3 linked regions of the Saccharomyces cerevisiae S288C genome follow. Changing the gene in region 1 together with any one later gene gives a genetic interaction. Each region holds a gene or a part of one and is shown in the gene's direction. Other genes may lie near its edges.

Region 1 (3,759 bases):
CTAGCCCCATCAGGGCTAGAATATCCTAAAAGTTTATAGTTGACGAAAATTTTTCAGCGATGAGATGCACATTTATAATGCTATGATGTTCAACGCAAAGGAAATCATAGCGTTATCGGGTAGGTTCGCATCGTTAGCAATAGCTAGTCGCATATATACACAGAGATACATATTATACCTATACCGTTAAGAAATAGGATAGAAAATAATGAGCGAACAAAAGGAAGATTTGTTTAAACCAGTAGGAGAAGCTGCTGCAGAGGTCGAAGATGAAAGCATAGCCGAACAGAACAAAGCTAATGACGGCGTCAAGTTAACCGGCGCACAGGACGCCATGGGCCATCCAGTGCAAGAGATAGAGTCTCTTTGTATGAATTGTGGAAAGAACGGTACAACCAGACTTCTTCTGACTTCCATCCCTTATTTCAGAGAAATAATTATTATGTCATTCGACTGTCCTCACTGTGGGTTTAAGAACTGTGAGATCCAACCCGCTTCTCAAATTCAAGAGAAGGGCTCTCGTTACGTTTTGAAAGTGGAGTGCCGTGAAGATTTTAACAGGCAAGTTATTAAGTCAGAAACTGCCACTTGTAAGTTTGTCGAGCTAGACATTGAGATTCCTGCTAAGAGAGGTCAATTGACGACAGTTGAAGGTTTGTTATCCGAGATGATCGACGATCTGTCGCAAGACCAGGAAATGAGAAAATCTATAGACGAAGCTCTTTACAAGAAGATCGATGACTTCATACAGAAAGTTAAATCCTACATCAATTGTGAACCCAACACTATTCCGATTACATTTATTTTGGATGATCCTGCGGGAAATTCCTGGATCGAATACAAACCCGGTGAACCTCAACACAAATGGTCTCATACCCAGTACGTGAGAACCGACGAACAAAACGTTCAAGTTGGCATTATTACTAGAGACCAGTTGGAGCAACGTCGCCAAGAACAATTAAAACAATTGGCCAACCGTGAAAGAAATCCTTCTGAATCTGTCAAAGTTGGCTCAGCAAACCCACAGTTTTTGTCAGACGCCACCGACATCGAAAACTTTAACAACGAGGTGCAAACATTCAGAGCTTCTTGTCCATCGTGTACCCAAGAGTGTGAAACTCATATGAAGCCAGTAAATATCCCACACTTTAAAGAAGTCATTATCATGTCGACGGTCTGCGATCATTGTGGTTATAAGTCTAATGAGGTGAAGACCGGTGGTGCCATCCCTGACAAAGGAAGAAGGATTACTTTATACTGTGACGATGCAGCTGACTTGTCCCGTGATATTTTGAAATCTGAGACCTGTAGTATGGTAATTCCTGAATTACATCTTGATATTCAAGAAGGTACATTGGGTGGTAGATTCACCACTTTGGAAGGTTTACTAAGACAAGTCTACGAAGAACTAGAATCCCGTATTTTCACTCAAACTTCGGATTCCATGGACGAAGCAACGAAAGCCCGCTGGGTAGAATTTTTTGCCAAGCTAAAGGAGGCCATCGCTGGGAAAGTCAAGTTCACAGTCATTATGGAAGATCCATTGGCCGGGTCGTACATACAAAATGTCTACGCCCCAGATCCGGATCCAAACATGACTATCGAAGATTATGAAAGAACTAAAGAGCAAAATGAAGACCTGGGATTGTCCGATATCAAGGTTGAGTAACGATCGTTGGCCTCGGTATCACCTCCCCCTTTCCTCTTCCTCTTTACATATATCCTAACCACACAAGCACTCATTTGATATGATAATACTTATTCGTTTTTATTCAAATAGATAGCGCAGTCTTGAAGATTTACCTATATTTTTAAACTTTTGTATAATAGTTGAAATAGATAATACAGCATTTTTTGGCTCCTGCTTCATATCTTTTTTTTTAGGTTTTTGCTTTATATTCTTTCTTTTAACTCAACTTGTGCGGAGCAGAGGTAAAGAGGACAACTATAAATGCTGTCAAAACGAACAATCTACAGATATTTTTACGAAAAGGAAAAAGCGCAAGAATGAATCTTAAACTTTCTGCTATTGAAAGTTACTTTTTCCATAGAAGCAGACTAAATTTGCATTCATGTTTTTATGTCGGAATCAAACTCAACGAATTGCCCAAAAAAAGTCAACTGATAGCGGCTCTTAAGTATACTGTAATCCAACATGAACGTTTGACTTGTAATGTATTCTATGATGAATTGAAAAAGGAAAACTTCCTACAAAACATTCTTGAGCCACTGAAATTTTGCGATCTAGTAGAATACCGCCACGATTGGGACCAGTTAGGGGAAACCGAAATTAACCACATCTTTCAAAGGTATAACTTTTCATACAACGAGAATAAACCTTTATGGAAAATTCTGATCCTCCCTAATCAAAATCAAATGCTATTGCTGACAGATCATGTTCTCATGGATGGGATGTCCGCTATTCATGTGTGGGAAACGTTTATGGAAGGCCTACAGATGCAACAGCCGGTTGAAATTGATGAAACAATATATTCACCATCATTAAATTCATCAACTGAAAAAATAATGTCAGCCCCACTATACGGAGATTGGCCCATACCTTGGAATTGGCATATAGTGCGACAATTGGTCAGTAGACTACATTATTGGTTTCCACAAACAGTCGTAAAAAACAATAGAAATTTAATCCAATTTGCCAACTACTCATTTCCAAAAGACCTGCTGGATGATAAACCGAGCGATGGAACTCAAAAATACAAAGTTAAAAACACGAACCATCAATGGGAGTTTCGATTATCGCCGACCCATCTCAACGACATTTTACAAGAATGCAAGGCCAATAATACTTCGTTGACTTCCCTTTTAGGTGCCCTGGTCTGCACCAGTTTCGAAAAAATAGCTGCACATGAGTATACCGGATCATTTTTGAAAATTGAATTACCAATGAATATTAGAAAGCCTTTTGAACGAGTCTTGAAATTACCTTCAGATGATAAGCTCGCCGTGGGAAATTTTATTGCGGTCATAGAATTCAACCATAAACTACATCAAAACCGTGGAATATGGGATATCGCTTCTCAAATTCAAAGGGCCATAAGAAGCAGTTCCGAGGATAAAATAATAGATAAAGTAAACGAAGTAAAGTTATTGGAGGTTATTTCTTCTCAACAATACATAGAAGATAAAATTAGCTTGAATAACGGACCTTCTTCCACATTTGAAGTAACAAACTTAGGATTTCAAACATTTAAAGATGCATGCAACACCAGTTTACCGTTTTATATAGTGGATGCTACATTCAACGAGCCGCAAGGAATATCTTCAATTTTCTCACTAAGCGTAATCTCTACTCCTGGTAACGGACTACATTGTTGTATCAGTTATCCAAATACTCTCACTAAAGTGCTAGAACCCCACTGGCAATATATGAAAGATTACTTAAATTTATACTAGCAGCACTTCACTAGCTCAAATACAGAATAAAACCACATTTCCCACATGTAAATATAGAAAGCAGTTTATTCGCTCTTTGAAGCGAGATCTTCTTCGATAGACGTCACCTCAACGTCAGGATAGTCGGTGCCGTCAAATCTTGCTGATTGTTGCGCTTGAATAGACTCTTCATGTATTCTAAAAATGTTAATTAGTGGGAACGCCACAATAAAAATTAATACGAGTAAAAACATTGGTAAACCATCAAAAATATAAAGATACCACTCGTGCGAGGCAATTTCTCCGTCATAACCCTGAATAAATTCAACAGCTCTGACGATCGACCTAATTAAAATCAGGAAACTG
Region 2 (3,759 bases), on another chromosome or scaffold:
TGCTCGTTTATAATATCTGATAGGTACTGCATTTTATCATCAACTTTCATCGATTTAGGCCTTATGTTTTGAAAATCATCTATCATTCTAAAGAAAATGTCTATTAGCCAATAAGATACCAAGCATGCTGGTGATAAATTTGCACAAATAAAGAAGTCAGACATATCAGGAAGGAAGTCTAGTGGAGAGAAAGAAATCCTGATTCTCTGGCAACTCCATGCTAGCTTGCAGCGATAGGTTTCCTTAGGAAGCTTGACATTTTCCAACATAGTAAGTTTGCATTCCTTCTTACCATGGATCAACCTCCACTGTGCGTTTACTTTTGTAAAATAAACCTGCACCGCGTCTTCGGTGTAAGGGACCAAAATCTCAATTGAACTGAACCTAGGATCTTCGTTTTGTCTCCTCAAAACAGCTGGCTCTAGAATGGTTTTCCTGAATGCTTCTTGGCAGTCAGTACCATTAAAAAAAAAATGTGCAGTTTTCCATGCTTTGTTTTCATACAAGTAGGAATTGAAATGTATTGCAACAGCGTCCCAATCAGCAGAGTATGCACCTGGTGCACTTTTGATGATTTCTTTAGAAAGCTGGGTGAGTTGATTTGATAAAGTATATTTACTGTACTGTATTTGAACTACTGGCAAAATAGCAATTAGCGCCAGGATTAGAACTACTGAAGTCAGAAGGGGATAAAACCAAGTACTGGCCATCCCCCACCAAACGGCAAGCGGTAACCATGATAGCGACCAGATCCAAAATCCTGAGTTGCGAATCTCACTGCACAACCATGTTAAACGGTTTCTGAAAATATCCTCGGGCAAACAAAAGCTACTATGGGTCTCAAGACCTTTAGAGGACAAAAGTCTAATCTCTTCCCCCATATTCAATATAGTGTATTTCACATTAATGTTATGAGGTACGTAACAAGTTTACTGAGGTTTAATCACTCGCAGTGTTTTTTATATAATTCGCAAGATGAAATTTGTTGACAGCGCGTTCATCACGCAGCTGTTGAGTTTTATAGTTAAAGCCACGATCAAAAAAAGAGCAACAGCTTCGAGCAGTTTCGAGTGAAAGAGAATCTATGTTGGTTTATGTTCCGGAAGCACGGGAGAAATGGACTTCACTCAAGTACCCAAGTTATCACTAAAATGTAAGTCAATGTATGTTTACAGATACGAGCTGCGATGTTTTATAATACATGGTACACAATAGGTGAAGTATTGTGGCTTATTTTTGAATTATCAAACAATGTAATAGCTTTCCAAAGCATACCATATAACTCCTATGAATTAAGCGGCGGTCTCATTATAAAGTCGGGACACTTTTTGGTCAAAGCTCTCGATTAGTTTTTGAATACTGTGCAAAGTCTTTAATGATATTGTCATCAGTTCATAATCGAATTCTCTGGTACATTTTTTCTTATTTTATTGATCAATGTTAATGTCAGTTTGCTGGCTCTTGTTTTTTTTTTTTTTTTTTTTTTTTGACTGTTAGTTAAGTTGCCCAGCTAAGCTTACTCAATGAGTTAAGTATTTATTTTCATATTTTCATCATAAAATACTGCGCTATCTCGTGCCCTCGTCTCTTATACAATAGGCAGTACTTGACTAGAATCTAGGAGTGCTTTTCCTGAAACTCTCTATAATAACAACCCATCTCCCGCCGATTGTATAGTGAGCCAAGTGTTCTCATAATGGGGGTCTTGAAGAAGACTTCAATGGTGTCTCATAGTAGCAGTACTAGTAGTGCTAGGAAGATGAGCATTGTACAGCTTACTTTTCGTTATTAGTGATACATGACTGAGTGATTGTAGTTGGTAATACTGGATTAGTAATCGTTAAAAAGCGATAAAAATTAATTGAATGTCCACCCTGCATGATTAGTCCTTTTTATCTGGCTGGACAAATGAAGCCTATTATAAGTATTAATATATTAGCTGCTGCAGACTAGAAACGAAAGCAGTGATAAATCATTGATAGACACACATTTCCTCATCGTTGTTCTTCATTATTTACAGGAAAGAGCAGAGAAAGGAAGAAAGAAATTGCAAAATATATGACAATTAACACAAAGAACATAGTTGTTGTTGGTGCTGGTGTGTTTGGTGTGTCTGTGGCAAATCACTTGTACAGGGAACTGGGTGGGACATACGCAATAAAGCTCGTCACAGCATCTAATTATGTGTATTTTCTACCCTCAGCTGTCCGTTTGACGGTTTCAAAGGATTATACCAAGTCGATCCTGCCGTTAAAAAATGTTCTTGATAGTGGTATTGAAGTTATCAAAGATACGGCTGCCAGCTTTGATGATAAGGAGGTAGTTTTGGGGTCAGACAGGGCCATAAAGTTTGATATCTTGGTTCTTGCAACTGGCTCAAAGTGGGCTGATCCAATTGGTTCAACTTATACCTTCGGGGATAACTATAAAGAGTATTTTGAAAGAGAGGCTTCTCGAATCTCAGATGCAGATCACATACTTTTTCTTGGCGGTGGCTTTGTTAATTGTGAACTAGCTGGTGAATTGTTATTCAAGTATTTGGAGGAGATCAGGTCTGGCAAAAAGCGTATTTCCATTATTCATAATTCCGATAAGCTACTGCCGGACTCTGGGTTATACAACGATACCCTAAGAAAAAATGTGACAGACTATCTCTCAAAAAATGGTATTACGTTGTACTTGAACACAGTAGGGGCTTCTTTAGACACCTCGCCGAAACGTATTTTTCTAGGTGAGGGCTCATCTAAATATATAGATGCTGATTTGATTTACAGAGGCGTTGGTATTTCTCCAAATGTGCCGGTCAACAGTATTTCAGACCTTTGTGACAAGAAAGGGTTCATTCAAGTTGAAAAAAACTTCAGGGTAAAAGCTGTTGAGGCAGGAAACGTTTTTGCCATTGGTGATGTAACGAATTTTAGATATCACGGATTGGTTAAAAGAGATAATTGGGTTGATGTTTTGACCCGAAATGTTATAAGTTCTTTACAAGAAGGAACAGAGGCTAGTCTCGTTGATGCAGATTGTCTTGAGACAGGACATGCCCCAAGTGGTGTCTCCCTTGGGCCAAATGCAGGGTTTGGCCAATTTCCACTACCGTTACTTGGGACGATTAATATTCCATCGTTTTTAATTTCTAGAGCAAAGTCGAAGAATCTTTTCTCCGACAAAATGGAACCTTTATTCAAAAAATAGACTAAAATATGAACTGCAGCGTATATATATATATATATATATATATATTAGTTTCTGTATTGTGAAACAAAGAAGGCCGCTGGAAACAACAAATGTTGAACTTCGCATTCAGATAATAATCTATTAAAACCCGAAGTTACTCGAAAATGTTAGCTTTGGATTCTCACACTATATGTAGTTTCTTTGACAGTAGTAAAACGGTATTACACCTGTGCATTAGAGTTATCAATCGCTTGATAACAATTTGACATTTTGGAGGGTCCATGAAGATAGGTACTGATTTTACTCGAAGTGTGAATGTTTTATACCGAAGTTTTGTTATATAGAGATACAGATATCAACAGGATTGACCACCTTCTTTTTTAAACCTAGTATAATGGGGACGGTGAGAATTAACAGTTAAGGTATAGGCGTGATGCCATGGGAGGGGCAAATACGGAACTGGAGTAAAGTATTGTGTGGTTTAGGTGCTGGGAAAAAGAAAGCATTAGAATGCTCAATAAAACAGCGGCTTCCCGCATAATATTTTTTTGATTATTTCATTCCGAGAAAGGCCGATATATG
Region 3 (3,184 bases), on another chromosome or scaffold:
ACTTAGAGGTACGGTGGTGCTAAGATCATGCATGACCTCTGGGTAATTACTACTTCTCCCGCTTGCTTTGAGATTCTGTATATAAATGTTTCAAACAAAAGGATAGAGCACGGATGGGAGGCCTTATAGTAAAAATTATTCGTTTTAATCATGCGTCAGTGTGCGATTCTATGACAATAGTATGAGAAGATAGGGTGAAGTAAAAGCGTCTGTATGACTATAGAGTACAGTTATATTACAATATATGGAATAGAGCATAGTGGTATGACGGTATTAAGGAACATTTAAGTTAATGACCTCATGGTGGTATTGATACGCAATTGAGTGTGTTTATGTATTATTGTTGAAGGATAGAATATTTTTATGTTTAGGTGATTTTAGTGGTGATTTTTTTGTAATATTGGCATAAGTGTATATAAATTGAGTGGTTAGTATACGGTGAAAAAGAGGTATAACGTATGTATTAAGGGCATTTATACAATATTTGGGGCCGCGGAATAAGATATAAATATTAAAATGTGGATAATAGTGGGAGTTATGCGTAAATGGCACAGGGTATAGACCGCTGAGGCAAGTGCCGTGCATAATGATGTGGGTGCATTTGTACTCATGAAGTGAGAGATGGGCCATGGAGTGGAATGTGAAAGTAGGGTAAGTTGAGATAGTATATACTATTGTAGCATCCGTGTGCGTATGCCGTATCAGTATACAAGTGATGGTGAGTATGACAGATGGGGCATGGTAGGGTATTGGCAGGGTAAGTATGTGTGCATTGTTTACGATCATTTGTTAACGTTTCAATATGGAGGGTAGAACAACAGTACAGTGAGTAGGACATGGTGGATGGTAGGGTAATGGCAGGGTAAGTGGCAGTGAGGTTGGATATGGGTAATTGGAGGGTAACTGTTATGGTGGATTTGTGGGTTGGTGGTGGGGAGGCAGGGTAACGAGTGGGGAGGCAGGGTAATGGAGGGTAAGTTGAGAGACAGGATGGAAGGGTTGGATTAGGGTAGGGTTGAGGTAGTATTAGGGTGTGGGTGTGGTGTGTGGGTGTGGGTGTGGTGGGTGTGGTGTGGGTGTGGTGTGGTGTGGGTGTGGTGTGTGGGTGTGGTGTGGGTGTGGTGTGTGGGTGTGGGTGTGTGGGTGTGGTGTGTGTGGGTGTGTGGGTATATATATGTCACTGTATTGCATGCTGGATGGTGTTAGACAAGGCCGTAGGGACATATAGCATCTAGGAAGTAACCTTGTACGAAAATAGGCAATATTTCCTGTTTAGGCGATTGGGACGCAGATTTTAGTCCAACGATCTAGCGTCAAGGAATTTTTTTATAGTGGGACATTGCACCAAGGAAGTAACTTGATACGTCGTGGGTGAATGGGTCTGTTTTCTTATTCGGCGGGGTAATACATTTTTGGGGGAAGTTTGTCTGTCTGACGCGCCATATGTAGGTACGCCAAAAAGGGCTCCTCTACTTCGAAGCGCGAGGTCGTATACCTAATAAGGAAATGTAATTTATAACTTTCTATTATATTGGTCTTTTCGAGAGCGGAAGAAGTTGTAGGCTAAGCGCAGGCTAAGCGTAGGTCCATGTTTGAAGTATCCAAGAGAATATCCACGAATCCTGGTTCTCCTCGACTAAGCAGATAGTTAAGATACTGTGCACCATGGAAATTGAAAACGAAAGTGCGTACCGACTACTTTATTTTTGCAGGCCGGAAATCAAGCGATGAATGAGACATCCTTCTGTTTTCTATGTTGTGCTTGAAGGGGACAGACAGTCGCTTATCTTAGTGAGATTTCTTATTAACTGAATTTTCTTTGCTGCTGCTGGAGATTTGCACCTGCATAGCGCAGATTCTGCATCTTCTCAATAGCTTAATTATTACATTCTTAGATGATGATAAGACGGAAACTGGACAATCTTTTGTTTATATTGATGGATTTCTTGTCAAAAAGCATAACAATCAACATACTATTGTTAATTTCGAAACTTACAAAAATAAAATGAAAGTTTCCGATAGGCGTAAGTTTGAAAAAGCAAACTTTGACGAGTTTGAGTCGGCTCTAAATAACAAAAACGACTTGGTACATTGTCCCTCAATAACTTTATTTGAATCGATCCCCACGGAAGTGCGGTCATTCTACGAAGACGAAAAGTCTGGCCTAATCAAAGTGGTAAAATTCAGAACTGGTGCAATGAATAGGAAAAGGTCTTTTGAAAAAATTGTCATTTCCGTCATGGTCGGGAAAAATGTACAAAAGTTCCTGACATTTGTTGAAGACGAACCAGATTTCCAGGGCGGACCAATCCCTTCAAAGTATCTTATTCCCAAGAAAATCAACTTGATGGTCTACACGTTGTTTCAAGTGCATACTTTGAAATTCAATAGAAAGGATTACGATACCCTTTCTCTTTTTTACCTCAACAGAGGATACTATAATGAGTTGAGTTTTCCGTGTCCTGGAACGTTGTCACGAAATAGCGAGTGCCAGGCCGAACGACAGCTCTACGATGCGTACTTTCACTGACTTTGTTTCTGGCGCACCTATTGTAAGGAGTCTTCAGAAAAGCACCATAAGGAAATATGGGTACAATTTGGCACCCCACATGTTTTTGTTACTACACGTAGATGAGCTATCGATTTTTTCTGCATACCAAGCAAGTTTACCTGGCGAAAAGAAAGTCGACACAGAGCGGCTGAAGCGTGATCTATGCCCACGTAAACCCATTGAGATAAAGTACTTTTCACAGATATGTAACGATATGATGAACAAAAAGGACCGATTGGGTGATGTTTTGCGTGTGTGCTGCCCAAGTTGAGAAGAGATACTAACAAAATGACCGCGGCTCTCAAAAATAATTGACGAGCTTACGGTGATACGCTTACCGTTATCCAGAGCTACAGCGCAACGTATACGTCGACGATACAACAAGAACGGTTCATCGGAGCCTCGACTAAAGACGCTTGACGGACTCACTTCCGAGCGCTGGATTCAATGGTTAGGCCTTGAAAGCGACTACCATTGTTCATTCTCTAGTACTCGGAATGCGGAAGACGTAGTGGCAGGTGAGGCGGCGAGTTCAGATCATGATCAAAAAATTTCAAGAGTAACGCGAAAAAGGCCCCGAGAGCCCAAGAGTACAAACGATATCCTCGTCGCAGGCCAGAAACTCTTTGGCAG

The links.
Region 2: mutations in SLI1 (region 1) and AIF1 together harm fitness more than expected from each alone (negative genetic interaction), as found in Saccharomyces cerevisiae (one large-scale study listed by BioGRID).
Region 3: mutations in SLI1 (region 1) and YFL064C together harm fitness more than expected from each alone (negative genetic interaction), as found in Saccharomyces cerevisiae (one large-scale study listed by BioGRID).

The regions. Positions count from the first base shown.
Region 1 is NC_001139.9:915,033-918,791, forward strand, and holds SLI1 (N-acetyltransferase), read left to right. Parts: upstream 1-2,007; coding exon 2,008-3,414; downstream 3,415-3,759. Other genes in the region: zinc finger-containing protein ZPR1, read left to right, coding at 209-1,669; RTA1 (Rta1p), read right to left, coding at 3,480-3,759. UniProt on the Saccharomyces cerevisiae protein: Confers resistance to the sphingolipid biosynthesis inhibitor drug myriocin (ISP-1). Inactivates ISP-1 by converting it into N-acetyl-myriocin. Cooperates with YPK1 in mediating resistance to myriocin.
Region 2 is NC_001146.8:777,038-780,796, reverse strand, and holds AIF1 (Aif1p), read left to right. Parts: upstream 1-2,058; coding exon 2,059-3,195; downstream 3,196-3,759. Other genes in the region: COS10 (Cos10p), read right to left, coding at 1-881. UniProt on the Saccharomyces cerevisiae protein: Putative FAD-dependent oxidoreductase involved in the resistance to cercosporin and other singlet oxygen-generating photosensitizers. Translocates from mitochondria to the nucleus under apoptotic conditions, where it degrades DNA and induces apoptosis.
Region 3 is NC_001138.5:2,668-5,851, reverse strand, and holds YFL064C (uncharacterized protein), read left to right. Parts: upstream 1-2,005; coding exon 2,006-2,530; downstream 2,531-3,184. Other genes in the region: YFL065C (uncharacterized protein), read left to right, coding at 2,514-2,822.